Linked DNA regions of Rattus norvegicus. The protein of the gene in region 4 purifies or fractionates together with the protein of the main gene of each other region. This does not show direct contact. Links are inferred from orthologs where the notes say so. Each region holds a gene or a part of one and is shown on either strand. Other genes may lie near its edges.

Region 1 (3,934 bases), on a different chromosome or scaffold from region 4:
TATATACATATATATATATATATACACACACACACACACATATATATACATATATACTCCTATTGGTCATTTGTTTCCAACAAAGGATACAGTATTGTGTGGCACAATGTTACAGTACATCACTAATATTTTAATGCTAGCAGTCTATGGAATTCTAGCAGAAATAGGTTCCTTCCCTAGAACTACATAATGTTTTTAATTCGTATTGGGGATCTCTGTGGTGTAACATTAAATGACTTTTTCCCCACAGATTAAGTTATATATATTTGTATATATTAAATGTATACATCCATTACAATAAAATTTTTTTAAGCTGGGATTGGTGGTGCACATCTGTAATCTGTGCCCTGAGGGGTGTCTGTGAAGAGACAGGACTGCTGCCAAGTTCGAGGCCAGCCTGGTCTACTTAAGTTCCAGACTTGATAGGGTTACAAGAGTAGTGTTGTCTTAAAAACACACACTACACACACACACTCCCAACCAAAAAAAAACAAAAAACAAAAACTCCCACTTTAAGAGCAAACTTCAGTTCCAGGCTCTTTCCAGATTTGACTAAGCAATCATGAACCCAGATAGGCAAAGAGCTATTGGCTGCTCTGTCCAAACTGCGTTAGGACCTCAGGGATCCGCAAAGGAAGGCGCTCACGAGCAAAGGGACAAGCCCGAAGGTACAGTGACCACTCCAAGGTCAATGCAGGGAAGCTGCAGCCAGCCTCGGCCTGAGGGCAAGGCTCCCTATGTCCGGAGATGCATCCCGAGAGCCGACCTCACTGTTCACAGAGGCTGCGCAGTACACCCCGTACAGCAGGTAGGCGACCTAGGAGGCCCCCCCGACCCTGTGGACCGCACTAGCACTGTCATCCAGGAGCAGAGACACACCCCCACGAGTCACACCCCCGCACAGTTCAGAATCCACTCCCATATCCTTTTTCGCCCTCTCAACCCAGCTTTTCCCGACTCCGGGAAGAACCGGGAAGAGAAGGCGGAGGACAGCGAGGCACCGTCTGATAAATACTATGGTCCGATCACGCCCCCTTGATGTCACTTCCGCCCTAGGGTAAGATGGCAGCCCCCGGTTCTTGCCACGCAGACTTCCGCCTTGCCGTGAGACCGGCGGCCGGTGGTTGGTCTCGTTAGAGGTGAGGTCGTGAAACTCGGCGTAGAGCCTCAACGCAGGTACGTCATGCAGTCCCGGGGAGAGGGCATGTGACGAGTCCAAAGCTAGAGGTGGGGCGCTCCGGGAAACCTCGCCACGTGGGACTGGGAGGAGCTGTGGTGCAGCGGGAACGACGCACGGACGGGGGGGGGGTACAGAGGGGGATTACGTGGGTGGGGTTCCGCCCAGGGTCTTCGCATCCAGCCCTTGGAGTCACTTTGTTGCCTACTTTCCTCTAGGAACCATGTCGGAAGGAAACGCCGCGGGCGAGCCCAGCAATCCTGGAGGGCCCCGACCCCTTCTCTCTGGGGGCCGGGGACTTGTGGGCCGGCGGCCCGCTCCCCCGCTTACGCCAGGCCGCCTTCCCTCCATCCGCTCTCGGGACCTCACCCTTGGCGGTGTCAAGAAGGTACCGGCGAGTGTATTTGTACAGAAACCCAAATGCTTTGAGTTCCAGGCCGAAGGGAGGCAATTCGTGATGTTCATTCATATACGGCCATTTGTCCCTGATGGGATGTCAGCCTCTAGCGAGAGACCTTCAAGCCTAGGTGCTGGTACAAGACATTGACATGGTTTCATAGGCAATTAAAAGGCAGAGAACCTAGTTAATTCAAGACATTCGGAAGTGCTTATTATGTTATGGGCACCTTACAAACTCCCATGAAAGTCAGACAAAATTGCTTTACTTGGTAGAGTGTTCATAACTCTGTGGATGTCAGTAAGGAAGCAAATAATCTAGTGGTGATGAATGAATCTTAGGCATGCAGGTAACTAACTGCTCTTTGTCCTCTCCCATTATGTGCATAACAGTAGATATAAGAGTACTCTGAAAAGAAAGCAGAACAAACAGGATAAAGCTACGGTAGTCTCCCTGTGTCATCCATTTGTCAGTGCTGGCAGATCTGTCTCTCCAAGCCTTCCCAGAATTGTTGGTCTGTTGAGCACTGCGAAAATACAGTACTGTATTTTACTTTTCAGAAAACCTTCACCCCAAATATCATCAGTCGGAAGATCAAAGAAGAGTAAGTACATAGGATTAATGAACACCACTCACCCTCTTTTGCTCTGAGTTTGAGGAAGTAATTAGGTGTGCAGCCTGGGAATTTTAACTTTTTGCCATTGGCTTATTCACCAGTGGATCTCATGCTTTAATCCCAGGTTATGTAGAGATATGTTTGCTTTTGAGACAGTGCTTCTCTACATGGCCTTTCATATCCTGGAACTCACTGTGTAGATTGCTGGCCTAGAACTCCCAGGGATCTGCTTGCCTCTCAGATCTATGTCCTGAGCCCTGGGATTAGGGTGTATACCATGCCTGGCTCTGAGGCACTTTGCATTAGAGGGCCTGCCTGTCTGTCAATCCATCCATCTGTTTGTCTGACTGCAATGAATAGCTGAGATATCAACTTACAGAGAGGGGCATTTCATTTTGGACGTCCAAGCTTTGGAGGTTTAAGTCTGTGATGAGGTGGTTCTATGCTTTTGGGTCTATGGTATGGCAGTGAGCTGGTGTCAGAGAATACCCAAGGGGAGAAAGAAGTCAAGGAGAGGAAAGGGCTGAGTTTCTGTCCTCCTTCAGGAGCTGGACAACCACCCAGTAGGTTCCACCTCAGCTTCCTCCTAATTCTGCTGAGGTGGAGCAAAGCTCTTCATACTCCTCTTAAGTTCCTCTGCTTTCCAGTCTTTCTACTTCCAGGCAAAAACAGGACAGAAAGCCCACATTTTGGACAAGGAGGTAAAGTGAGAGGAAATTAAAGGCCGTGCTTTATCAGATGTAACAGGTGTAACAACAGGTGTAACAACAGGTGTAACAGCAGGTGTAACAGCAGGTGTAACAAAGGGTTGGCTTGTGATTCTCATGGTCTCTTTTCTGGCTTGCAAACGCTGCTCAGTTGGTTGAAATGAGGTGGGTGAGGAGGGTTTGTTTCCTGAGGCAGACCCTTATATCTGTCCTCATCCCCAGGCCAAAGGAAGAAGTAACTATGAAGAAGGAAAAGCGTGAACGGGACAGAGACCGCCAGCGTGAGGGTCATGGACGGGGACGTGGCCGCCCAGAAGTGATCCAGTCCCATTCCATCTTTGAGCAGGGTCCAGCAGAAATGATGAAAAAAAAAGGTACCAGGAAGGGATCTGGATTGCGGGTCAGACCACCTGAGAAAGCAGAACATGGGATTCTCCTTTCCTAGCTTGGTTTCCCTTGCTGTTGCTGTCCCCCTGATTTAACCCTAGTGAACGGCATGATTTCCTGCAGGGAACTGGGATAAGACTGTGGATATGTCAGACATGGGGCCTTCTCATATCATCAACATCAAAAAAGAGAAGAGAGAAACAGATGAAGAAACCAAGCAGATCTTGCGCATGCTGGAGAAGGATGATGTAGGTTCCAGCAGCCTGGGGGACCGGTTTCTTTGTATCTGCTAACAAGGGCTTTTAGGAAGCCAGGCCAGGGACATCTTTGGGCTTTTGGTCACAGGAGCACTAAGGTGGGGCTGGGGATGCAGCTCCGTGGAAAGACTGCTTGCCTCCATGTGTGAGACATATACACACAAAGGAGAGGGAGTGACAGGTCCTGAAATGGGCTGTGACATAGGCACACATGCTGACATTTAATGTGACCCCCCCACTCTTTGGCAGTTCATCGATGACCCAGGGCTAAAGAATGACACACGGAACATGCCAGTACAACTGCCACTGGCTCATTCAGGGTGGCTTTTCAAGGAGGAGAGTGAAGAGCCAGACGTTAAGCCTTTTTCTGCTGGCCCCAAGGAAGAAGACATG
Region 2 (4,260 bases), on a different chromosome or scaffold from region 4:
CACTTGGTGTGGTTGTTAGGAACTGAACTCTGATCCCCTACAAGAGTAACATGAGCTCTTTGTTGCTAAGCCATCTTTCCAGCCCCCAAATCTGAAATTTAAAATGCAACATGGACAAGTTCGCACTGCCCCTTCCAGCTCAGAACGCTGCCTCAAAATTCCCATTTGGAATCTGTTCCAAGAGATTTAAAAATGGGCGTTATTCAAGAGACCAAAGTCTATCCTAACCATCTCCAAACACAACCACCTGGAAAATGGTGAGTTCATCTCTACAATTCTTCCTAGATCTAAAATGTCATGAGTTATGATTGTGACTTAAATGTATCATCCTCGTGTACACACAACCTTACACATTTAAGGAGATGAGTAAATGTTCAACTAGCTGGAGGTCAGGGGAGACAGCAAAAGCCAGGTCACAGTATCTCTCTGAAGAATGACCATTAGCTGTGTGTTCCCTAGTCTTCTCCTTTCTTCTGCATTAGCTCAGGCCTTAGCATTGCTCATCTGACCCTTTGAAACATGCTAGACATTTTATGTCCAGATTCCTATCATTCTCAACCAAACTCTTGTCAATTTAATAGAAGGCAAATCTTTACACTTCCGATATACTGTTCTCTTCAGTTTAACAAAGCTCAGGACATTTAACTTCTGCTTCTCACCAAGTAACTGACTGTTGGTTTTCTGCCTCCCCAGGGAGAGTCTTTGACCATCCACTGGCGTCTTTATGAAGCCCTAACCCTAACCCTACCTCTGGGTCAAACCATCCTCTCTGCTGGAAATAGAGAGGTGAACAAAATAATGTCTCTGCGCTTATGGAGTTCACGGACAGGAGAACCTGTCAGAGCCTGACAGATGGTGTGAAAGTGAAGCAGGAACCAGGCCAGATAAACTAGTCATTTGGGACTATCTGAGCATAAATTTAATTAAGATGAGAAACAGAGTCATATTGAAAAGAATAAAAGAGTCATCAGAAACTGTAGGTCCAAAGGCCTCTAGAGCTAGGCACAAGCTGGATAATCATCACTGAATTATTTCTGAGCTCATGACCACAGAACAACACTGTGCCATCTTACCGAGTGCCTCCCTTCTGCCGCAGAAGCATAAAGTAAAGAGGGCACTGTGTTTCTCTGTGGAGAACACCTTCTTAGGCAGAACCCAATTTTTGCATTCATGATGCATTAGTTAACAAGTATTTGTGTACAAGTGTCAGCTTCCTCAGATTCTTGAGAACTCAAATCAGACTTTTCTTTAAACAGTTTTCTGCTTGTCACACATCATTTAGTTCAGGCACTAGTGCTAAGAATGGTCCCAATTGCATAATTGAATAATAGATGAGATTAGCAAAATACTCAAAAGAGCAGCGACCTGCTCCCACACCCACTGGAGAGTTTGGGAGTGTAGGAAGAATGCATCTCTCCCTCCAGGAAAGACTTATGTGCCACAGGAAGGATTTTGCTAATTATCTTTGATAATGCTGTCCCCGTGGGTCTCTTTATAATTTCTGAAGGTTAGTCAAATTCTCAAGGGAATTTCTGAATCTGAAAGAGATGCATCGGTAGCTAATGGTTGGGGTGCAAGCACAGGGACTTGATACTGACAGTGGGGGTGATTTCGGTTGCTTGCAAGGCCACACCCAGTGATTATCCACTTTCCCTGTCCCCTCAAAGTGATCTCTGCCTTGCCTTAAGCTCTAACCTTTTCTGCTCTCTTCAAAGAGCAAGGAAACACCCAGAACTATGACGGGCATTTAGGATCTCCTTAAAGAAAAATTCTATCACCAGCCCCTCTCCCCACTATCAAAGGTGCCAACAGTTAAGAAAAAAGAAGCGATGATAAGTATGCCCTTATTAGCCAAACTGCCGCCAAACTTTACATGAACAAAAACCACAGTCCCCGGATTTGCAAAGTCTTCTCTTGTAAAAGGATAAACTTCCAGCGTGAGGCTGGAAGATCTGGCTACCAAAACTTTTAAAGGTTTGGAAGCCGGCAGCAGCAGGCTTTGGGAGGTAGGGGTACAGCCCAAAGTCACTCCAGAGGGGCTTTGATGAATTTTGGCTCCAGATTATCGGACCACCACGTTCTCCACGTGCCCCATCAACTCCCTTCTACCCTCTTCACCTCCAGCCCAGTCCGGGATAGTTTCCAGTTACCTTCTCACCAAGTCTCGAGGCTTGGGCACACTGTGCAGCGATGGTGGCAGGAAAGCTGGCAGTCGCGCCAGCAAGGAGCAGCAGATTCCACCTCCGGAACAGCGAGAACCTCACCGCACGCGGCTCCGGCTCAGGGTAGCGCACTGGAAGCCCCGCCCACTCTACGAGGCCACACCCCCGGAAAGGAGCTTTTTAGCCCTTGGCAGGCGCCGTAGTCAACCTCCAACTGGCTCGGCCTCACTCTGGCCTCCCGCTACGAGTGCGCAGCGCCCGCGGCCCGTGTGGGGGCGGTCCTGTCTCTTCCCACGCATCCCTCCAGGCCTCTGCAGTCGGAACCCCGAGCAGGGCAGCATTGCCCGGTGTCTCCGCCCCGCTTCAGCGGCCTGTGTCACCGCCTTGGTGCTGCAGCTGCAGAAGCTGCGGCAGCTGGGGTGCAGTCTTTGCGCTCTGCGGCTTGGACGGGAGGGCGAGGAACAGGCGATCTGGGCAGTGTCGCTGCGTCCTATCCGCGCTCCCTTCCGCATCCCCGCCCCTCGATCGCGCCTCCTCCGGAGCTGAGAGTAGCTCTTCGCTCACTGCAGCAGCGGCGAGTCCTGGACTGCCTGTGGGAGGCACACCCACCTTGCCCGGCCGCACCCCTGCGCATCGGCATGTCGGCACTCGAGTGGTATGCCCACAAGTCTCTGGGCGATGGCATCTTCTGGATTCAAGAACGGTTCTACGAGTCAGGCAACCGGGCCAACATCTGGCTGGTGCGCGGCTCGGAGCAGGACGTGGTGATCGACACGGGCCTGGGGCTACGCAGCCTCCCGGAGTACCTCTACTCCTCCGGCCTCTTGCAGGATTGTGGTGCCAAAGAGGATGCAGGACGTCGGCCGCTGCTGGCCGTGGCCACCCACGTGCACTTTGATCACTCCGGCGGGCTCTATCAGTTCGACCAGGTGGCTGTGCACCGCGCCGAAGCCGAGGCCCTGGCTCGCGGGGACAACTTTGAGACCGTGACCTGGCTCTCTGACAGCGAGGTGGTGCGGGCGCCCAGCCCTGGCTGGAGGGCCAGGCAATTCCGAGTGCAGGCAGTGCAACCCACCCTCATTCTGCAGGATGGTAATAGGTCCCGGGGGCGCGCGCTGTCTCTGAGGGAGGGGCTTGGCGAGCGTGTACAGCTTGTTGCAGACCTCCGTGGCACTGTTGGGCTACCGTGCGGGAATACTCTGACTCACCCTTTGCTGCGTGAAAGCCAGCTTGGGCAGAGCCTAGGCCCACTCAGTCTTCTCTGCCAGGAGATGCGCGCTGCTACTGTGTGGCTGTTTATTTGAAAGCTCACACCATCCCCAGTCAGTCGGCTACGGTAGTTACACTGCAGAGACTTGTGACTGGAGATATTCCATTCTTTTCCCAAGTACCAGTTGAACATTTCCAGCTTTTGTAACGAGTAGGCTTTTAAGATATGGCACCTTGTGGAGAGTGTTAGGCTCTGTGCTCTGAAAACTGCTGACTTCTGCTGCCTGCGCACTGCTCACCGCAGAGTGCCTCAGTCTCACCTGTAGACTTAGAGAGCTTTCGTCCATCCTTACCTTTCAGATGGATTTGTTTGCTTATTGCCTCTCAAAAAGAAAAAAGGCTTGATGGTGGACATGAACGTAGAATTATGACAGCTATCTGGTCTGGATGAGAGCGAGGCCTAAGAACGATCAATAAGGGAGTTGTTTCCCATGGATAAAGTGTGTGCATTAATTAATGCAGACTTCATTCTCTTGGTCCTAAGAAATTGATAAAATGGAGCAAGATAGAGTAGGGTCCCAATCCCCTTCTCCCCATGCAGGACTGCACTAATTGAACTGGTTAGCGACAACAGCAATACTTGGTATATCAATTTTATATTTTTTGCCTTAGGATTTATTTATTTACATCCCAAAAGCTACTCCCCCCTCCTGCTCCCTCCCTCACAGAGACTCCCTCATCCCGTCTCCCCTTCTGGGAGGGTGGAGGCCCCCTGGGTATCCCTTCCCCCACCCCCAGCACATCAAGTCTCTGCCAGATTAGGTGCATCCTGTCTCACTGAGGCCAGACAAGGCAGCTGTGGAGACTGAGCTGCAGGTCTGCTACATCT
Region 3 (4,300 bases), on a different chromosome or scaffold from region 4:
GTAAACATTTACTTTTTAATACCTCCAGTTGCAAATATCAACCCCCCCCCCTAATTTTTTATAATTATTTTATGTGCATGTTTTGCCTTTGGGTAGTCTGTGCACCACGTTCATGCAGTGTCCCTGGATGCAAGTAGAGGGTATTAGATCACCTGAAAGTACAAGTACAGAAGGTCTGAGCTGCCAGGTGGAAGTTGGGAAGGAAACCCAGTCCCATGCTCTCAACCACTGAAATCCTACCCCACAGCTATTTATCGGTTGACAGAATGGCTGAGCCAGGGTCTCAAAAAGCCCAGATAAGCACTGAGCCTTCTGCCTCCACTCAGAGAGCACCAGAATCGTAACTGGAATCATAAGCTTGAGCAACCATCCTTCGTCCACAGTTATAATTTTTTTAAATCCATGTAATAAAAAATAAAACGAAATGAAAATAAAAGACTAGGGCTGATCATTTTCTCAGTGTTGGTATTTGAAAATACATACAACACAATTTTCATGAGAAGTCCACACCCACTAGAGCATGGATCCCCCCTTCCCAACAACTATATATAAATCAATGCTGAAATTTTTTGTAATGAACTCTAAATTTGCTTCAAAAAGAGAATATTTGCCAGATTTATTTTTTAATTATACTTGTCCACATCGGACTTGAGACTCTAAATGAAACAACGGTTCAGGTATCACTATAGTAACTTTGCTTTAAAGAATCCTTGAAAGAATCTACTTTTAAAAAAATGTTATTACAGCCAGGTGTCAGTGGCAGATACTTTAGTACCAGCATGTGGGAGGCAGACAGGTGGATCTCCGAGGTCAAGACACTCAGAGCTACACAGTGAAACCAGGTCTCAAAAAAACAAAATCAATTAACAACAACAAAAATGTAAAAGACTTTAGAGTGCCTACACTGTAATTAAAACACATCACCAAAATATTTCATGCACTAGCTATTTGATATTACATTGTTATTTACATCTTCTTAAGTTCTTTTACACTTGTGCACGCCCATGTGTGCATGGAGGGTGGTACAAAATCTTCCCATGAGTCAGTTCTCTCCTACTATCTGGGCTCCAAGAATCAAACTCAGGCTAACAGATCTGGCAACAAGTGCTTTTACCAGGGTATCTTGCTGGCCCTAATAACAGACAGGACTGCATTATAATACTAAGTTTATTATTAGTATTAAACACCGAGGGCTGGAAATACAGCTTTCTGGGTTCCAACACAAGCACCACACACACAAACTAGCGAAACAATATAAATATAAAATATAATAATAAGTAATAACAAACAAGGTTGAGTCACTGGCTCTGTTACGGGAAAATCCTCACCTGCAGTAGAGTCCACATTCTCCCAGGCAGCTGCTCCACCAAGCACATCATCCACTTCTTTTAGCTTTGGATACTTTCGGTTTGTTACCTAACAGACACAAGCCACCAGATTGGAAGTAATTGTACAGTTTTACAAGTCGGTCACTAAGCCACAACTCCCTCCAGCATTTCCTCTACAAAATTTGTCTTCTTCAAAGAGCAGTGTGAGTCACTAAAATGTAGGGGTTTTGTGACTCGGATGTTCCTCCAAACAGAACAGAGGTTCTAGAGGTTCAGACCTCTAGAGACCGAAGGAAACACCAGACAGAACTGAAAGGAAAAAACAGCCTAGTAAAACCTTGCTCTTCTCTCATACCCCTAGGACACCTAATAATCCAACAGGAAAGACAGACAAATGAAGTCACTTAGCTGGGTATACCAGCACCCCAGGTCACATTTGGATGCTTTCCTATGTTTATCAGGCATCCCTGGAAATTAGAAATTCTGTCACAATTCATCTTACCACAAATCCTGACTCTAAACCCCTACCACACAGCTCTAATGTGCAAACATTAGGAACGAGGAGTCACCAAGGCCCAGTGCTGCACAACTGCAGTCACTGAACTAAGGCACGGAGGTAAAGAGGAACGGGAATTAAGGTACACAAAACACCGAGGGCTGGAAACACAGCTTGCTGGGTTCCAACACAAGCACTACACACACAAAGTAGCAACAACGATATAAAACATTAGAAGACAATGAATTCTGTGAAAACCTTAAGGGAATGAGGATAAACAGAAAGAACTGGGTTTGGCTTTTCTGTGCTCTGTGTGTGCTATGCAGCCCAGATGAGCCTTGAACCTATTCTCCTGCCGAGTGCTAGAATTATAGGTGCACAAACAGCCGCACGGGCTGACATTTAAATAAGGCAGCCATTATTTTAAAAGAGGAGAGGGAGAGAGAAACAGGGAGGCACACATGCACCAGAGACGGGGGAAGAGGGAGACGAGAACGAGAAGTGCGTCACTCTGCGTAGTTATTCAGGGAAGACCGACTCGGGCGGAGGGAAGAACCTGACAGCACTGCGTGCAAGAAGATTCTCAGGAATCAAGATAGGGGATGGGAGCAAACGAGCAACTAAAGAACCCGAGGATTTGAAATCAGAGGTGAGGAGCGGACTGGAATCTGCGAGGTCCAGCGTAGGGGGATGAACTAAAATTCGCACAATTTCTGAGCGGGCAGCGGGGAGGTCCGAGCGCGCCGACGCCTGCCCTGGGCCCCGCGGACCGCAGGGAGAGCTCCGGCCTGTGGACCTCACCTTGCGGGTGATGTTATGGACGTACGGGCACGTGTTGCAGGCGAAGCGGTGACAGCGCTGCCCCTCCTCCACAATGAGGCCGTTCCCGCAGCCCGGGCAGAACAGCAGCATTGCTCAGCTCCCACACGGCGGCTCTGTGTGGCGCTGCCGAGGTTCAGGCGCCCAATCTGAAGCCGTCTCCCTTCCTCCGTTACGGGCAACCGGCGATCGGCAACACGTTCCCGGTAGGCACTGCGGCGGGCAGCCTCGCGCATGCCATTGGTCACCGCCGATGACCCTTCCCCATCCAGCCAATTGCATGCTGTCTGCACTCGCTGTCCGTGTAGCTTCTGCGCGTGCGCACATCTCCCTAGCTGAAACGCAAACTAATGGTGCCGGCAGATGGCAGCACCTGGGGAGCCTGATGGTGGTGAGCCGGACTGGGTGATGAGGTGCTGCTGAGCTGCAGTATCTAGGCCTGGAAACTTCTACCCTCTGTAAAATCTAATTCAGGCCTAGAAGGTTTTCAGCTTCTGAGACTCACTGCGGAATAAGCGCACCCCTTCTAGTTCTGAGCGCTGGTTGGCTGGTTCAACTCAGCTGTTCCGGCTCAAACTGATTGAATTTGGCTTCTCTCTCTCAGCCTTTCCTCAATTGCTCTGCTTGGCCTCATACTAACTTTGACAATCTGTTCTAATCTTCTGGCACATTCTGTCTTCATCTGTGTCTAGTTTGTTCTCTGTAAAAACTGTCCCAGGAAAACTGCCTCCTTCTCTCTCATGAGAGTTGGGCATACCCTATTCTGTACAAAAAAACAAAACAAAACAAAACAAAAAAAACAAAAAAAAAACTCTCTAATTCCCCACTTTGTCGGACACTCAAACATCACTTTTAAAAAAAATGATTTATTTATTTAAAGTACACTGTAGCTATCCTCAGACACACCAGAAGAGGGCATCAGATCTCATTACAGACGAGATGAGATGTGGTTACTGGGATTTGAACTCAGGACTTCTGGAAGAACAGTCAGTGAACCACTGAGCCATATCTCCAGCCCTAGACATCATTTTCAAATATGGGTGATACCTTCTACAATCTAACCTGACCTTCATTGTTGGGCATTAAAGGAGCATTCTAAGGGCGTGTCTGTATTCCAGCCAGCGGGATTAAAGGTTGTGTGCCAAGGGCCGAGTCACACCACAACTAGAAACAGGTTTTTCCAGTAAACACAATCCCAGAGTTCATGGTATGATAAAGAAAAAGCCTGCAACAATGAACCTCCAGCTTCCAACCTTAGTCCTGAAGAGCTGATCTAAAACAGCTGGATGGTAGGTATTCCAGTAATAGCCTGAGGTCTACCATGTAGATTCTGGAGGCCCATGCGCAACACATGCACACTTTTCCTAGTCACTTGTGTCTCCTTGTTCCCAAATATTTGCAGGTGAAGAGGCTAAAGCATGGAGCCCCAGCTCAAGTCTCTGTTGGTTAACTCTGCATGTTTCTTTGAGGGATTCTTGGGGGGATAATTTAGGGGCTCTGATCATTATTTTACTAGGAACTGAGAAGCAGCTCAGTACAGGTGGGAGACCCATCATTATCTTTGCAAGGATTCTTGACAGAAGTGTGAAGAATGCAAACTACAACCCATGCCCAGAACAGGACTTCAACAACATCCCTCACAGGATGATCCAGAAAA
Region 4 (3,473 bases):
TCACAGGAGTGAGGCGTCCTGACAACTCAGTCTAAGCCAACTGGATGGTCATACTCTGTGGGAGTAAGATGGATCCTGCTTAGTCCGGGCTTTAGTGTTCCTTCCCCTAGGGAGCCCATGCCCTCTGTTCAAGCACAGCCAGGCTGGATTCTGTACACTGAGGCCTGGGCTGTACCTTTGCTTAGGGGCTGAATGAAATGCCATCTTGGATAGCTTTTGGCGAGTCCAGTCTGGCCTGCGTGCGCCACCTGCTGGCTGATGTCACTCACCTCATCTTCACTGGATGATGGTGACATGTTTATTTTAGTAGCTGCAGCACAAGACAGTCACTTCAAAGCCTGCGCTTGCATGTCTGTGGGGCACTGATGAGCGATGCCCTTCAGTTACTGCTGTGATGTGAGGAGAGAGTGGACACGGCCGGTCAGGTCAATGGTTACTTATGTAAAGCACTCTGTGTATGTATGGCAAACTAAACAGGACCTTACATGTTTTACTGCTGAGCTATACGTCAAGTTTTGGGGACATTTCATTATGTCAGAAAAGACATTTGGTTTCTGCTCTTTGGAAAATTTCAGGATTTTAGGATTAGCAGAGACCAGAATATTTAGTCACAAACTAATAAATGTCAGTCTCAAGGTGGTCCCCAGAGTCACCCAGGTACCTCTGAAGGTATAATTCTCAGACCCCCTCATGAGCTGAGGGATTCTGTCTGGATCAGCAGTTAAGAGCACTTGGTGCTCTTGTATCCAGTGTCCTCCAAAGGCACTGGAAACCTCCATGTAAGCAAAACACCCATACACATAAGAAAATCATTGGTCTTTTATGGCCTGGAGAAGGCACTGGCCCTTGATTTTGGATGCTTGTTCGTAAGTCTGAATCTATTGGCGTCAGGCTGTCCAGGGTTATTAGAAGCGTCTGTCTGCAGGAGACAGGCCTGGAGTTGATGTGCCCTTGTTTGCCATTGGAAGTTTTGCTTGGACCAAGCATTAGCTGGGGCCTGGGCCCTCATAGTGGATCATGTGTGGTTCTGGGCCACCAGACAGATGTTCATAGTCTGGTGTGGACAGTAGTATGGTGGCTTTGATGCCAAGAAACGCATGTTTAACTCACCGGGGGCACAGAAGACAGATTCCCAAGGCTCAATGGTTGAGAGCACAGACTGCTCTTCCAGAGGTCCTGAGTTCAATTCCCAGCAACCACGTGGCAGCTCACAACCATCTGTAATGGGATCCGATGGGACACTCTTCTGGTGTGTCTGAAGAGAGCAACAGAGTGCTCACATAAAAAAAAAAAAAATTAAGTATATCTTTAAATAAAAAAAAGGAGACAGAGGTGGGTGAGGACAGAGAGTAGAAATGAAAGGGATCTGTGCCTGTTGTCCATGTTGTGACAGAAGTCCAGAGGACAGGCTTCTGGCTTAGTACATTTGGCTCACAGTCCTGGAGCTTAGAAGGTTCAAGAACATGGCAACTCACCTGTGGGGCCTCAAGCTGCATCGTAATATGGCAGAGTGCTGTTATTTGGTAGAACTGAGCAACCTTGCTAGCTTGGATTTCTCTTCCTTTAATAAAGCCACTTAGGCTATCATGGTGGTCACACCTTTGTGGCTTTCTTTCTTTTTTTTTTTTTTTTTAATTTTTTTTTTTTATTTATTTATTATATATAAGTACACTGTAGCTGTCTTCAGACACACCAGAATAGGGCATCGGATCTCATTATAGATGGTTGTGAACCACCATATGGTTGCTGGGATTTGAACTCAGGACCTCTGGAAGAGCAGACAGTGCTCTTAACCACTGAGCCATCTCTCCAGCCCCTTTGTGGCTTTCTAAGAGCTCCTTCTCCAATACCGTCGTCATCTTAATTTGGGGGACACTTAACCATAACCTAGGGGAGGCATGGAAGTTTGTTCTGGCTTGAATGAGGGGCCAGGCTGGAAGAGTGTCACTCTTCTGGGGGTGTTGCTATGCAGGGCCTTCTCTGATGGGGTATGACATGCAGATGACTTCAGTATGTTACCTGGGACATATCCCAGCACAGTGGTGAGGAGCAGACCTTGGCTCTGCCTCTCTGCCTACGTGACCTGGGGCAGGACACCTTTTATATTGGATAGTTTATGTATTTACATTTCAAATGTTATCCCTTCTATGAAGATGTTCCCACTCCCACCGCAACACCCTGGCATTCCTGTACACTAGAGCTTCACCTTTCTGTACCTAGTTTCCATGATAGTAAAGTGGAAGTCAAAGTAGGCCTCTCCCACTGAGGCAGAGGTCATGGCAGGTAGCTGTCAGTGTCTGGCGTGCAGAGCCTGTCTGCTATCTGGTTTTTGTCATTGTTTCCCCAGTGAGGTAGGGATCTCTTCTTCAATTTTAGAAGAGGCTGTTGGGATGTGGAGAGAAATTCGGTGACTTGTGCTTACAGGCACAGTTTAAATCCAGTCTGCCAGCCTTCCCTCTGCTCAGTGGTGGCTCCCTGAACACTGCTGCCACCAGGCCTGCCTGTCCAGGTGACCTTGCTAGATGAGGATCAGGACAGCAGATCCACCTTCTCTGAGCCTTGTCTGCTGTCTCTCCAATCTTTCTCTGTCTCTGCAGGATGTGTGCCCCAGTAATGGTGGAGCTGGAGGGGGAGACAGACCCTTTGCTCATCGCCATGAAGGAACTCAAGTAAGTCTGCCCCTCCTTCAGAGTATCTCGGGCCTCTTTAGACCTGTGGCTCATGCATGGCCAGCCCCCGGGAGCCAAGGGAGGGCATTTCTGTGACACGTGCTACTACCACCTGTTCTCTGCTGGGAGCCAGGGCACCAGCTCTCACTTCATTCGACTTCTCCCCACACAGGGCCCGGAAGATCCCCATCATCATTCGCCGTTACCTGCCAGATGGAAGCTATGAGGATTGGGGCGTGGATGAGCTCATCATCAGCGACTGAGCAGAGCTGTCAGGCTGTGCCAGGCACCATCTCTATGCCCATTTTATACATGTAAATAATAAACTTCACTCTTCACACCCCCTCTGCCCCTGTTGCCTGCATGCTGACACCTGCTGCTTTCTTGTTCCTGCCCTACTACAGGATGGGCATACATTGAGGTGACCCTGTGACTGTTAGCTCTTTCTAAAGCACCAGGGCCCCCATCCCATCCCTCCATCTCTCCCCATGCACCAGAGCAAAAGCTGCTGCAGGGAGACACCTCAGCTGCCTTCTCAGCAGACAGATGAGTCTTTGTGCCCAGGGAGCTGGTTGCCACGGAAACCCCCAATTTCCTTTCCAGTGGGGACTGGCTGCAGGGGCTTCTCCCTTCTCAGGAGTATCACAGAGCAGGTTTCATCAAGCCAGCCATTGTTCCTAGGGACCTGCCTTGAGCTCTTATCGAGGACTCAGATCCCCTTTCAGGAGCGGTGCTTTAGCAGGAAGCGTGGGGGTGCAGTGATCCCCCACTGTCCCCAGGCAGAGCCCTGTTGGGCAAGGCAGC
Region 5 (3,500 bases), about 92 Mb from region 4:
ATCTGCACAAGCACTGGATCCATATTTCCAGCAGAAACGGGTTGCGGGCAGGCGCTCTCCCTTCTGGAGCACTTCTTCATAGTAATACATTAAGCACCATGTCCTCGCCCATGCTCCAGCGTGACCCTGAGGTCTTAATACAAAGGTTCACTCACTCACTCCCTCGCTCACTCATTTACCTACTCATTCACTCACTCACTCGCTCGCTCACTCATTTACCTACTCATTCACTCACTCATTACTCACTCACTCATTCACTCACTCATTACTCACTCACTCATTCACTCACTCAGTTGCTCGCTCACTCACTCGCTCGCTCACTCACTCATTCACCTATTCACTCATTCACTCACTCACTCACTCTCAGTCAGTCACTCACTCACTCGCTTGCTCACTCATTCACTCCTCACTCACTCACTCATTCACTCACTCGCTCGCTCACTCACTCATTCACTCACTCACTCATTCACTCACTCACCCACTCACTCAGTTGCTCACTCACTCACTCATTCACTCACTCATTCACTCACTCATTCACTCACTCATTCATTCACTCACTCATTCACTCACTCATTCACTCACTCATTCATTCACTCACTCATTCACTCACTCATTCACTCACTCACTCATTCACTCACTCACTCATTCACTCACTCACTCATTCACTCACTCACTCACTCACTCACTCATTCACCCACTCACTCACTCAGTTGCTCACTCACTCACTCTCTCAGTCACTCAGTCACTCACTCGCTCGCTCACTCACTCACTCCTCACTCACTCACTCTGTGTGCGCACGGGCGAGTGCCTACATGTCCATGGTTGGAGGCCAGAAGGTGTTGGATCCCAAACTTGGGTCCTGTGGAGCAGCAGCCAGTGTTTTTAACCGCTGAGCTCTGTCTCCGCCCCCTGGGTATTTTATGTGTCACAGGGTTCCATACAGACCATTTGATCGTACATTCTATGTGGGCTGTTTCAAGACCTCGTCATCCACAGTAGTTGCATGGACTTGTGTCCTTCAAAGATGGCAGCTAGACCCTTCGCCCTGTCTTGTCCAACCTCACCTCAGGCTGTACAGCTACCTCCTTCTGGAATAACAGTTGGGTGGGCACCTACCAGTTCTTGGGGTCTACTCAGTAAGTGTACTTTCCTCTGTGCAACACTCTGAAGGGCACAGCTTTTGTCCCTCCATGTCTTACACACTCTCTCCTCCTCCTCCTCGTCTTCATGACTGAGCGCTGGTTCTCAGATTTGCCTGCCGGGCATTACTGAAGCTGTGCTGTGAGGTGCTGTGGTAGGCTGTGGAGACCGAGCAGTAGACACAGCATGGCAGCCTGCTCTCACGGAGGCTATGTCTCAGCTGGGAGACAGACAGCAGTATCTGAGGACCGACGGCTATGGAGAGCAGTGGGGCAGAGACAGGCAGCACCAGAGCGGAGTTGAATTGGGTAGTCAGTGGGCAGAGGTGAGGCTCAGTCATGGCGTGCTTCTAAGCATGCATGAAGCCCTGGAATCAATCCTCGGCAACACAGAACAAAAACAAAAACCTCAAAGCCAAACCAAACCAGACAACCACCTGCTTGGCAGGCAGTCACTGAAGGCCTGCTGGAAATCACCTTGTGTTTGCTACTATTCCACGTCCAATAACAAATCGAATTGGCCAGCTCTGTGGTTTTATTTACTGCAGTCCCTTCGATATGTAGCACATATTAGATGTGAGCACCGGGCTCCAGGGTATGAAACCAAGCACTGTCTCTGGTGCTCCACACAAATCTAGCAGTCTGGGAAACACTGCATCAGATGCAGTTAACGTAGTCCACAAAAGCAACGCAGAAATCCAAGCTTGTTAAAATGACAGTCCTGGGGGCTGGGGATTTAGCTCAGTGGTAGAGCGCTTACCTAGGAAGCGCAAGGCCCTGGATTCGGTCCCCAGCTCCGAAAAAAAAAAAAAAAAAAATGACAGTCCTACCACACAACTAGTGGTCCTCAATATCTGGCTTCTTAAATGTGGCCTTTCTTGGATCAGGTTTCCTAAAGCAGCGAGGCTTCGTTCCTTCCCACTAAGGCAGTCTGGGAATGTTATACCTCATTGGCCCGCTTCTTCAGGCCCTCACCTCCGATCTCTAGCATTTGTTTAGCAGCACACTCACCCGGTGATGCCCGAGGTGACATAGTCCTTCCCCAGGTAGTTGTAACCATGGCGAACGAGGTCTTCACACACGTCCTTCACTTTACTCCCTCCAAAGGCGGTGCCGTAGTGGAACCTGCCGTCTAACACGCCTGCCTTGCCGGCCAGCAACTCAATCAACTTTCCAACCTGTGAGACAGGAAGGGGACAGACTACGTGAGTGCCCGCCCGGCTGTCAGTTCTCCCAGCATCCCTGCCTTTGGCTTATGTTTTGAAAAAGCAGCTTCAACCACACCCAGCGATAGTGAAACATTACCAACACCAGCATTCCTGGGTATCCTGCCGAAGAACCCTGGCCTGTGGGACTAACTTCCCGGACTGAATTCCCTAGTTTTCAGATATTGAAACTCAAGTACAGAGCTAAGCACTGTGGCCACGGCCCCTTGGCCTGCGACAGGATTGCAGATTACAGGAAGTGACTGCTCAAAGAGACATGGAGGTAGGCTCAGCACACAGGACTCTGTGTCCCAGAGGACAGTGAGGGACAGGGCAAGGAGTCCGTTTATCCGTCAGGGGGCCACTCAGTGTAACTAAACTAACTGCCTGCTTCTTTCCCTCAGAGCAGTGCTGCTAAAAAGCCCAAAGGTGACTGACCGTCATTCTCGATGGGAAGCCGTGAGGGTTCATTATGATGTCGGGACAGATGCCAGAGTCACAGAACGGCATGTCTTCTTGGGGGACGATCAGGCCGCAGACACCTGGGGGACAGGAGATTTCACAGCACGGGAAGCAAATGGGCAGGAGGGAAGAACACAGTACTTAATTGGGATCTCCCTGCTGCTGTTTCTATTCCCACTGTTCTGAAACCCTCCCCATGGCCTCCATCAAGAGCAACAAAAGCAATTTCCAACAACCCTGCTAGCCAAGCAGTTCAAAACGACTCTCCTTGCAGAAAAGCATTGTAGGCCGCCGAGTGGCATGCTGGCATGGCACACAATGGTGCGGTGCTGCTGTCAGGCCGCCTGCCTACCTTCCCTGAGCACCACGAAGACCAAAGGGCAGGCTCGAGCCGGCTCTCGTCCCGGAAGCTTTTCAATCCACAGTTTCTGCTTCTTGTCAGCGAGGTTGTGGTCTGCTGGGTTTTGTGCCCAAACCACAGGAATGCAAATTCTCAAACCACCAACAAAGAATGATTGAATACAACTAAATGTGTAAAATGTGGATTTAAACCAGGACAACAAACCTTTGTGTGGGCTGCAGAGACAGTTCAGTGGTTAGCTGGCTGCTCTTCCAAAGGACCCGAGTTCGGTTCCCAGCACCCACATGGCAGCTCACAACTGTCTGTAACTCTGGTTCCAGGGGAATCTAACAT
Region 6 (3,500 bases), on a different chromosome or scaffold from region 4:
TTGGCCAATCGAAGTTATTACTAGTTCATGACCACAGGCTTCACTTACTATTTCTATGATGTTTTGTAAAAATTAATAAATGCACTTTATGAAGAAAAGTACTTACAACCCCTAGCTTCTTCTGACATAAAGGATAGCCACAGAGTTTAATGATGGCCCGCTCATCCACAACGTCGCTGTAGTGAGCCGGTGTGATGAACATCCCCTGGGGAGAAACCAAAGGGCATTTCCCAAAGACTGTGAGAGTTCTGGGAGCACAGGAAGGAAAAGCACATCAAGAAGTGTCTATACTGTAACACTGATTTTAAACACTTCTGACAAGATGGCTCTGAGGGCTAAAGTGCCTGCTGCCACTTCTGCGTTGCACGAGGGCAGGACAGAACTGAGTTCATAAAGTTGCCTTCTGACTTCCACGTGCATGCTGTGTCAGATGGGGGTCATGGCATGAATGGTGCCTTCACTAACCAGATGCAAAGAAACTTAAAAATGCACTACATGGACTATAGCCATACCTTCCTGTATTCTCATGCATCATGTTATCTGTGTCTAAGGACTAAGATTTCAATAGTGCAAAGTTTTATTTTGCATAGACTTAAAACACATTAGATTTGGGGGCTGGAGAGATGGTTCAGTGTTTAGGAATGCTTACTGCTCTGCGAGAGACCCTGAGTTTGGTTCCCAATCACCCATGTCATGTTGTTCACAACTGCTGGTAACTCCAGCTCCTGAAGAAATGGTGCTCTCTTTTGGACTCTACAGGTATGCATTCACATGTGCCATGCATTCATATGTGCTATACAAACATATTAAAAAAAATGGAGCTGGGGGCTGGGGATTTAGCTCAGTGGTTAGAGCGCTTACCTAGGAAGCACAAGGCCCTGGGTTCGGTCCCCAGCTCCGAAAAAAAGAACCAAAAAAAAAAAAAAAAAAAATGGAGCTGGAGAAACAGTTCAATAATTAAGAGCATGCGCTGCCCTGCAGAGGTCCTCAGTTTGGTTCCTGGCACTCATGTTGTGCAGATCACAACCAGCTATAATGTCAGTTCCAAGGGATCTAACGCCCACTTCTGGACTATGGGCACTGAATGAACACTCCTAGTGCACATACATAGAAGACACTTGTTTTAGTTAGGGTTTCTATTGCTGTGAAATACCATGACCAAATAGAAAAAGGTTTATCCTGCTTGCATTTCCACATTGCTGCTCCAAATGAAGTCAGGCAGGAACTCAAGCAGAGCAGGAACCTGAAGGCAGGAGCTGGTGCAGAGGCCATGGAGGGGTGCTGCTTACTGGCTTGCTCAGCCTGCTTTCTTGTAGAACCAGGACCACAGCACAGGGACGGCTCCTCCCACCATGGGCTGGGCCCTCCCCTGTTGGTCACTAACTGAGAAAATGCCTTACAGCTGGACCTGATGGAATTATTTCCTCAACTGAGGCTCCTTCCTCTCTGATGACTCTAGCTTGTGTCACATTGACACACAAAACCAGCCAGGACAACTGACCCTTGTCAACTTGACACACAGACAGATCACTGTTAAGCTATAATCCTTCCTTTCTTACCCATTCCCAAGATCTCACATTAAAAACATAAATAGGGTTGGAGAGATGGCTCAGAGGTTAAGAGCCCCAACTGCTCTTCCAGAGGTCCTGAGTTCAATTCCCAGCAACCACATGGTGGCTCACAACCATCTGTAGAGAGATCCGATGCCCTCTTCTGGTGTATCTGAAGACAGGTACAGTGTACTTATATATAATAAATGAATAAATCTTTAAAAAAAAATAACTTTTAAAGTCCCACAGTCTTTACAAATTAAAGCACATTAAGATGTCAGTCCCTTAAAAATATCCAATCTCTCTAAAAATCCAAAGTCTTTTAAAATTCAAAGTCTCCAAGTTAAATACTGTGGGCTCCATCCAGTAAAATAACTTTCTTACTCCAAGAAGGAAAATCAGAGCACAGTCACAAATCAAAAAAAAAATCAGACTCCAACTGTCCAATGTCTGGGATCCATTCACAATCTTCTGGGCTCTTCCAAAGGGCTTGGGTCACTTCTCCAGCTCTGCTCTCTGCAGCACACACAGCTTGCCTTCTGAGTTCTGGCTGGCTCCCCGCCACTGCTGCTGCTGTCCGTGGTGGTCTTCCCATAGTCCCTGCACCTCCGAAACACTGGGGTCTTCAGCTGCAACTGAGATGCACTTTCACCAATAGCCTCTCCTAGGCTCTCTCCTGGTGCCAATCCTCAACCTCTTTGCATGGTCCCTTCAGTCTTGGGCTGCATCTTCACCAGTGGCTTTTCATGGCTTCTCCTGCCCAGCCTCAGCTGCTCTCTATGACCCCTTCATGCCTTCAAAACCAGTACCACCTGGGTGACTCTTACATGTAACCAAGTCTGGCTGCCAGGACAAGGGACAACCGCAGTCACCTATGGACACAGCTTCTCTGTGCTCTCAGGAAACACTTCCCAGAAGATTTCACCTCAATAATGTTGGCCTTTTCTTAATCACCACTGATTCCTCAGCTCCAGCTGACCAACATCAAGTATCCCAGCAGAGCAAAGGTTTCAACTTAGCAGTTCTGGTCTCTTGTTAATCACAGCTGGCGCTGTAGCCCCAGCCGACCAGAACCACAGAATCGTAATCCAAAATAGCAAATGGTCCAAGACTTAAAACTTCACAAGTCAGGCCTCTTATCTTCTGCACTGTTCTCAGCATTCTTATCTTCCAAGCTCTCACTGAACATCCCACTGAGCTCTCAACACTCAATGGCTCCCCTAGTCCAAAGTTCCAAAGTCCTTCCCCAGTCCTCCCCAAAACATGTCAGGTCTGTCAGAGCAATGCAGCACTGTGGCATCGACTTGCTCTAGTCAGGGTTACCATTGCTGCGATGAAACACCATGACCAAAAAGCAAACGGGGAAGAACATGGTTTATCCTGCTTGCCTTTCCACATCGCTGCTCATCACCAAAGGAAATCAGGACAGGAACTCAAGCAGGGCAGGACCCTGGAGGCAGGAGCTGATGCAGAGGCCATGGTGGAGTGCTGCTTACTGGCTCACTGCCCCATGGCTTGCTCAACCTGCTCTCTTGTAGAACCCAGGACCACAGTCCAGGGATGGAAGCACCCAGCACAGGATGGGTCCTCCCGCATTGATCACTTATTGAGAACATGGCTTACGGCTGGATCTCACGGAGGCCTTTCCTCAGCAGAGGCTTTTTCCTCTGTGTGTCTGACTTGCCTGCACTTTGTTCCTCTGTTTGTCAAGCTGTCAAGCAAGTACAATGCTCATATACACAAAGGAGTCTTTAAATACAGATTTATACTTTAAATCTGGTAATCTGACAACTTGGTACGTACACACTCCTTCAGGAATTCTTCTGTGATGTTCTCCTCCAGGAGCTGCTCTACGAGGCGTACAGCTCTCCTCTCAGACTCCACCTTCCTTTGCAGGGCAGCTTCCAGTTCCGCTTGTCTGAAATTTTAATGAGAAGGTTAACCAGTTAA
Region 7 (2,312 bases), on a different chromosome or scaffold from region 4:
TTGGCAATCCGGCATGTAAATCATGGCTCTGAGGGGTTTAGAAGTGTAAAATACCACATTCTGAAGACTTAGGTAAAAAAAAACCTTTATTACATTTTGATTTAAAATATTTGGGCCTGAAGTACATTAATATCTACTTTTAAAACTATTTTAATGTAAGTACTAAAACCTTCAAGGTTAGTCAGCTCTCACATTCCCACAGGAGGAGTACTAGCTCCCTTCCCTACTTAAGAAGCTGGTGTTCACTTTCCATCCTCCTTCCCTTCCGCTTGCAAGTCTGCAGCGAGCTAAGGCCACTCTGTGACTGTCCCTGTGTGTGTGGCGGCCTCAGCAGTGTGAGCAGACCAGTCTTCAGACCAACCTTGCAAGGTCAAAGTGAGTATCACCTGGTGTGATGGCGTCATGGTCTCCCTTCTCTCTCTGTACTGAATGCTTAGACAGCACAGAGGACATTTTCTTCCTGCAACTATTTGAGGACAGCAGCACCATGATGCCAGTTTAGTGTTAGCATTTATTTTAAAAATACACAAAATATAATTTTTTTTACATCAAAGTGATAACCTCGCTTACACACTGTTCCACACTTACCTGGTTCCATTTGCACCTTTATGCAAACAGTAGGAGACGATGGAGTTAATAGAATGTTTGCTATGGTCTGTGTAAACAGTTGAGACCGCTACAGAAAGCAGGCTGCTGTATAAGGTAAAGTGGCCTTAGAAACCCAACAGTAAAATGTTCAATTTGGTTTAATAAAATTGGCAGAAGTCTTAGCAGAGAGAAACTCTAAGACTAATTATTAGCTTCTAGGCATTTTAAATATTAAAAACCTTAAGGTTCTCTTCATCTTGTAAACATAACTTTAACTATGTTGGCATTCATTTAAAAGAGGAAAATATTAAACCATGATTTTCATAATCCTGCCCATGTCAGTGTACACTCTCTTTATTATGAGAATGAAACCCAATAAGCAAAATACATCAGGAATTTCAAATTGTACTGCAAAGAAGGCCCGGCTGGTCTCTGTTGGGAGCGATCTCACTTACGCTGACCCTGCCACTGGCTGAGTGTGAGCCCCTCTGTCCTCTGGGCCAGGCAGTGCCACAGGCCACCAGGTGGGCAGATCCTCTTCCTGTGTCTTGAGGCAAGTCGAGACTACGTGTGGCTCTGCCGTCCTTCCCTGGGCTTGGGTTCGTTGAGTTAGTGGTTTGCTACTATTGTCAGGATTGTACTGTCCCCTTAAGGTACCACATGCCACCACAGCTTACACAACAGTCCTAGAAATTAAGAAAACTGGGTAAGGGCAGGTTCCGGCAGGAGAGAGCTATTGCTGTCACAGCCTGACTCACGATTAGCGGACAGAGTGCAAACAGGACATCAAAACCTGCCTAAGTGTGCTGTTGGGTAGCCGCTTTGACCCTATCGGGTTTCCAGCCACCATACCTCAGGGACATTTTAAGATGTGTTACAGATTTTGCTGTATCAACAGAAAAAAACTTTTCAAGTTGACTACGACAAGGGACATATTAATAAGGCCTATTGTCTACATGACTAAAGGTAACAGGGAATGGGGCAGTGGCTTTCTGTGCCCACCTCTACAATGCACACAGTTCATGAGAGCATTCAAAGTGTTTTCACATTAAGCAAACAGAAACTCCTCTTTGTCGTTGTTGTTTGGAGGCACGGTTTCTCTCTGTAGCCCTGGCTGTCCTGCAACTCACTCTGTAGATCAGCCTGGCCTCAAACTCAGATCTGCCTGCCTCTGCCTCCTGAGTGCTGGGATTAAAGGTGTGCGCCACCAGTGCCAGGCAGTATCCCTTTTTTTTTTTTTTTCTTTTTTTTCGGAGCTGGGGACCAAACCCAGCCTAGCAAGCGCTCTACCACTGAGCTAAATCCCCAACCCCCAGTATTCCTTTTTTAATTAAAATTAAAAAAAAGATTGTACTGTCAATTATACAAGTGGGTGCAAGATGATGTACACCTCCTCATACCCAGTCCAACTCTGCGGCATGAAAAGGCTCACTTTCCTGCCAGGGTACCAGTGCTAGTCACTGCCAGTTGATGGCCATCAGACTGGTGGGCACTAGGGCTAAGCTGTTCTGATTTACTATATACACAGCGGGAACAAAGATACCAGACACAACCTTTCCACGTATGTGTGTCCTTAAAACAACAGGTCAAAGTCACAGCCTAGATGCTCTGCGTGACATCTTGTGCACAATGGACATACCTTTAGCACTTTATCCACCTCCTGCTTGCTTAGCTCTTCTCCACATTCTTGAGTCAGCCGAGACTGGATCATATTCCGACGTACT

The links.
Region 1: the proteins of Polr2f (region 4) and Polr3d purify together in Homo sapiens (affinity purification with mass spectrometry; 5 studies listed by BioGRID and IntAct, with this or other methods). This does not show direct contact. The link is inferred for Rattus norvegicus from reciprocal best matches to the Homo sapiens genes POLR2F and POLR3D.
Region 2: the proteins of Polr2f (region 4) and Polr3g purify together in Homo sapiens (affinity purification with mass spectrometry; 3 studies listed by BioGRID and IntAct, with this or other methods). This does not show direct contact. The link is inferred for Rattus norvegicus from reciprocal best matches to the Homo sapiens genes POLR2F and POLR3G.
Region 3: the proteins of Polr2f (region 4) and Polr3k purify together in Homo sapiens (affinity purification with mass spectrometry; 5 studies listed by BioGRID and IntAct, with this or other methods). This does not show direct contact. The link is inferred for Rattus norvegicus from reciprocal best matches to the Homo sapiens genes POLR2F and POLR3K.
Region 5: the proteins of Polr2f (region 4) and Polr3b purify together in Homo sapiens (affinity purification with mass spectrometry; 5 studies listed by BioGRID and IntAct, with this or other methods). This does not show direct contact. The link is inferred for Rattus norvegicus from reciprocal best matches to the Homo sapiens genes POLR2F and POLR3B.
Region 6: the proteins of Polr2f (region 4) and Rpap2 purify together in Homo sapiens (affinity purification with mass spectrometry; 4 studies listed by BioGRID and IntAct, with this or other methods). This does not show direct contact. The link is inferred for Rattus norvegicus from reciprocal best matches to the Homo sapiens genes POLR2F and RPAP2.
Region 7: the proteins of Polr2f (region 4) and Polr3e purify together in Homo sapiens (affinity purification with mass spectrometry; 4 studies listed by BioGRID and IntAct, with this or other methods). This does not show direct contact. The link is inferred for Rattus norvegicus from reciprocal best matches to the Homo sapiens genes POLR2F and POLR3E.

What each region holds. Positions count from the first base shown.
Region 1 is NC_086033.1:51,923,153-51,927,086, reverse strand, and holds the start of Polr3d (DNA-directed RNA polymerase III subunit RPC4), read left to right. Parts: upstream 1-1,134; 5' UTR 1,135-1,176; exon of another isoform or gene 1,177-1,227; intron 1,228-1,395; 5' UTR 1,396-1,400; coding exon 1,401-1,565; intron 1,566-2,134; coding exon 2,135-2,178; intron 2,179-3,119; coding exon 3,120-3,271; intron 3,272-3,407; coding exon 3,408-3,532; intron 3,533-3,790; coding exon 3,791-3,934. UniProt on the Homo sapiens protein: DNA-dependent RNA polymerase catalyzes the transcription of DNA into RNA using the four ribonucleoside triphosphates as substrates.
Region 2 is NC_086020.1:13,718,988-13,723,247, forward strand, and holds the start of Polr3g (DNA-directed RNA polymerase III subunit RPC7), read right to left. Parts: upstream 2,801-4,260; 5' UTR 2,151-2,800; intron 1-2,150. Other genes in the region: acyl-coenzyme A thioesterase MBLAC2, read left to right, coding at 2,801-3,254. UniProt on the Homo sapiens protein: DNA-dependent RNA polymerase catalyzes the transcription of DNA into RNA using the four ribonucleoside triphosphates as substrates.
Region 3 is NC_086021.1:189,358,849-189,363,148, reverse strand, and holds the start of Polr3k (DNA-directed RNA polymerase III subunit RPC10), read right to left. Parts: upstream 2,801-4,300; 5' UTR 2,737-2,800; coding exon 2,626-2,736; exon of another isoform or gene 2,624-2,625; intron 1,417-2,623; coding exon 1,329-1,416; intron 1-1,328. UniProt on the Homo sapiens protein: Core component of RNA polymerase III (Pol III) which synthesizes small non-coding RNAs using the four ribonucleoside triphosphates as substrates. Can mediate Pol I proofreading of the nascent RNA transcript.
Region 4 is NC_086025.1:112,599,537-112,603,009, forward strand, and holds the end of Polr2f (DNA-directed RNA polymerases I, II, and III subunit RPABC2), read left to right. Parts: intron 1-2,597; coding exon 2,598-2,669; intron 2,670-2,841; coding exon 2,842-2,932; 3' UTR 2,933-2,973; downstream 2,974-3,473. UniProt on the Homo sapiens protein: DNA-dependent RNA polymerase catalyzes the transcription of DNA into RNA using the four ribonucleoside triphosphates as substrates.
Region 5 is NC_086025.1:20,939,634-20,943,133, forward strand, and holds part of Polr3b (DNA-directed RNA polymerase III subunit RPC2), read right to left. Parts: intron 2,887-3,500; coding exon 2,783-2,886; intron 2,318-2,782; coding exon 2,151-2,317; intron 1-2,150. UniProt on the Homo sapiens protein: Catalytic core component of RNA polymerase III (Pol III), a DNA-dependent RNA polymerase which synthesizes small non-coding RNAs using the four ribonucleoside triphosphates as substrates.
Region 6 is NC_086032.1:2,325,655-2,329,154, forward strand, and holds part of Rpap2 (RNA polymerase II subunit B1 CTD phosphatase Rpap2), read right to left. Parts: intron 3,469-3,500; coding exon 3,354-3,468; intron 206-3,353; coding exon 107-205; intron 1-106.
Region 7 is NC_086019.1:184,923,727-184,926,038, reverse strand, and holds the end of Polr3e (DNA-directed RNA polymerase III subunit RPC5), read right to left. Parts: coding exon 2,228-2,312; intron 1,275-2,227; coding exon 1,218-1,274; 3' UTR 501-1,217; downstream 1-500. UniProt on the Homo sapiens protein: DNA-dependent RNA polymerase catalyzes the transcription of DNA into RNA using the four ribonucleoside triphosphates as substrates.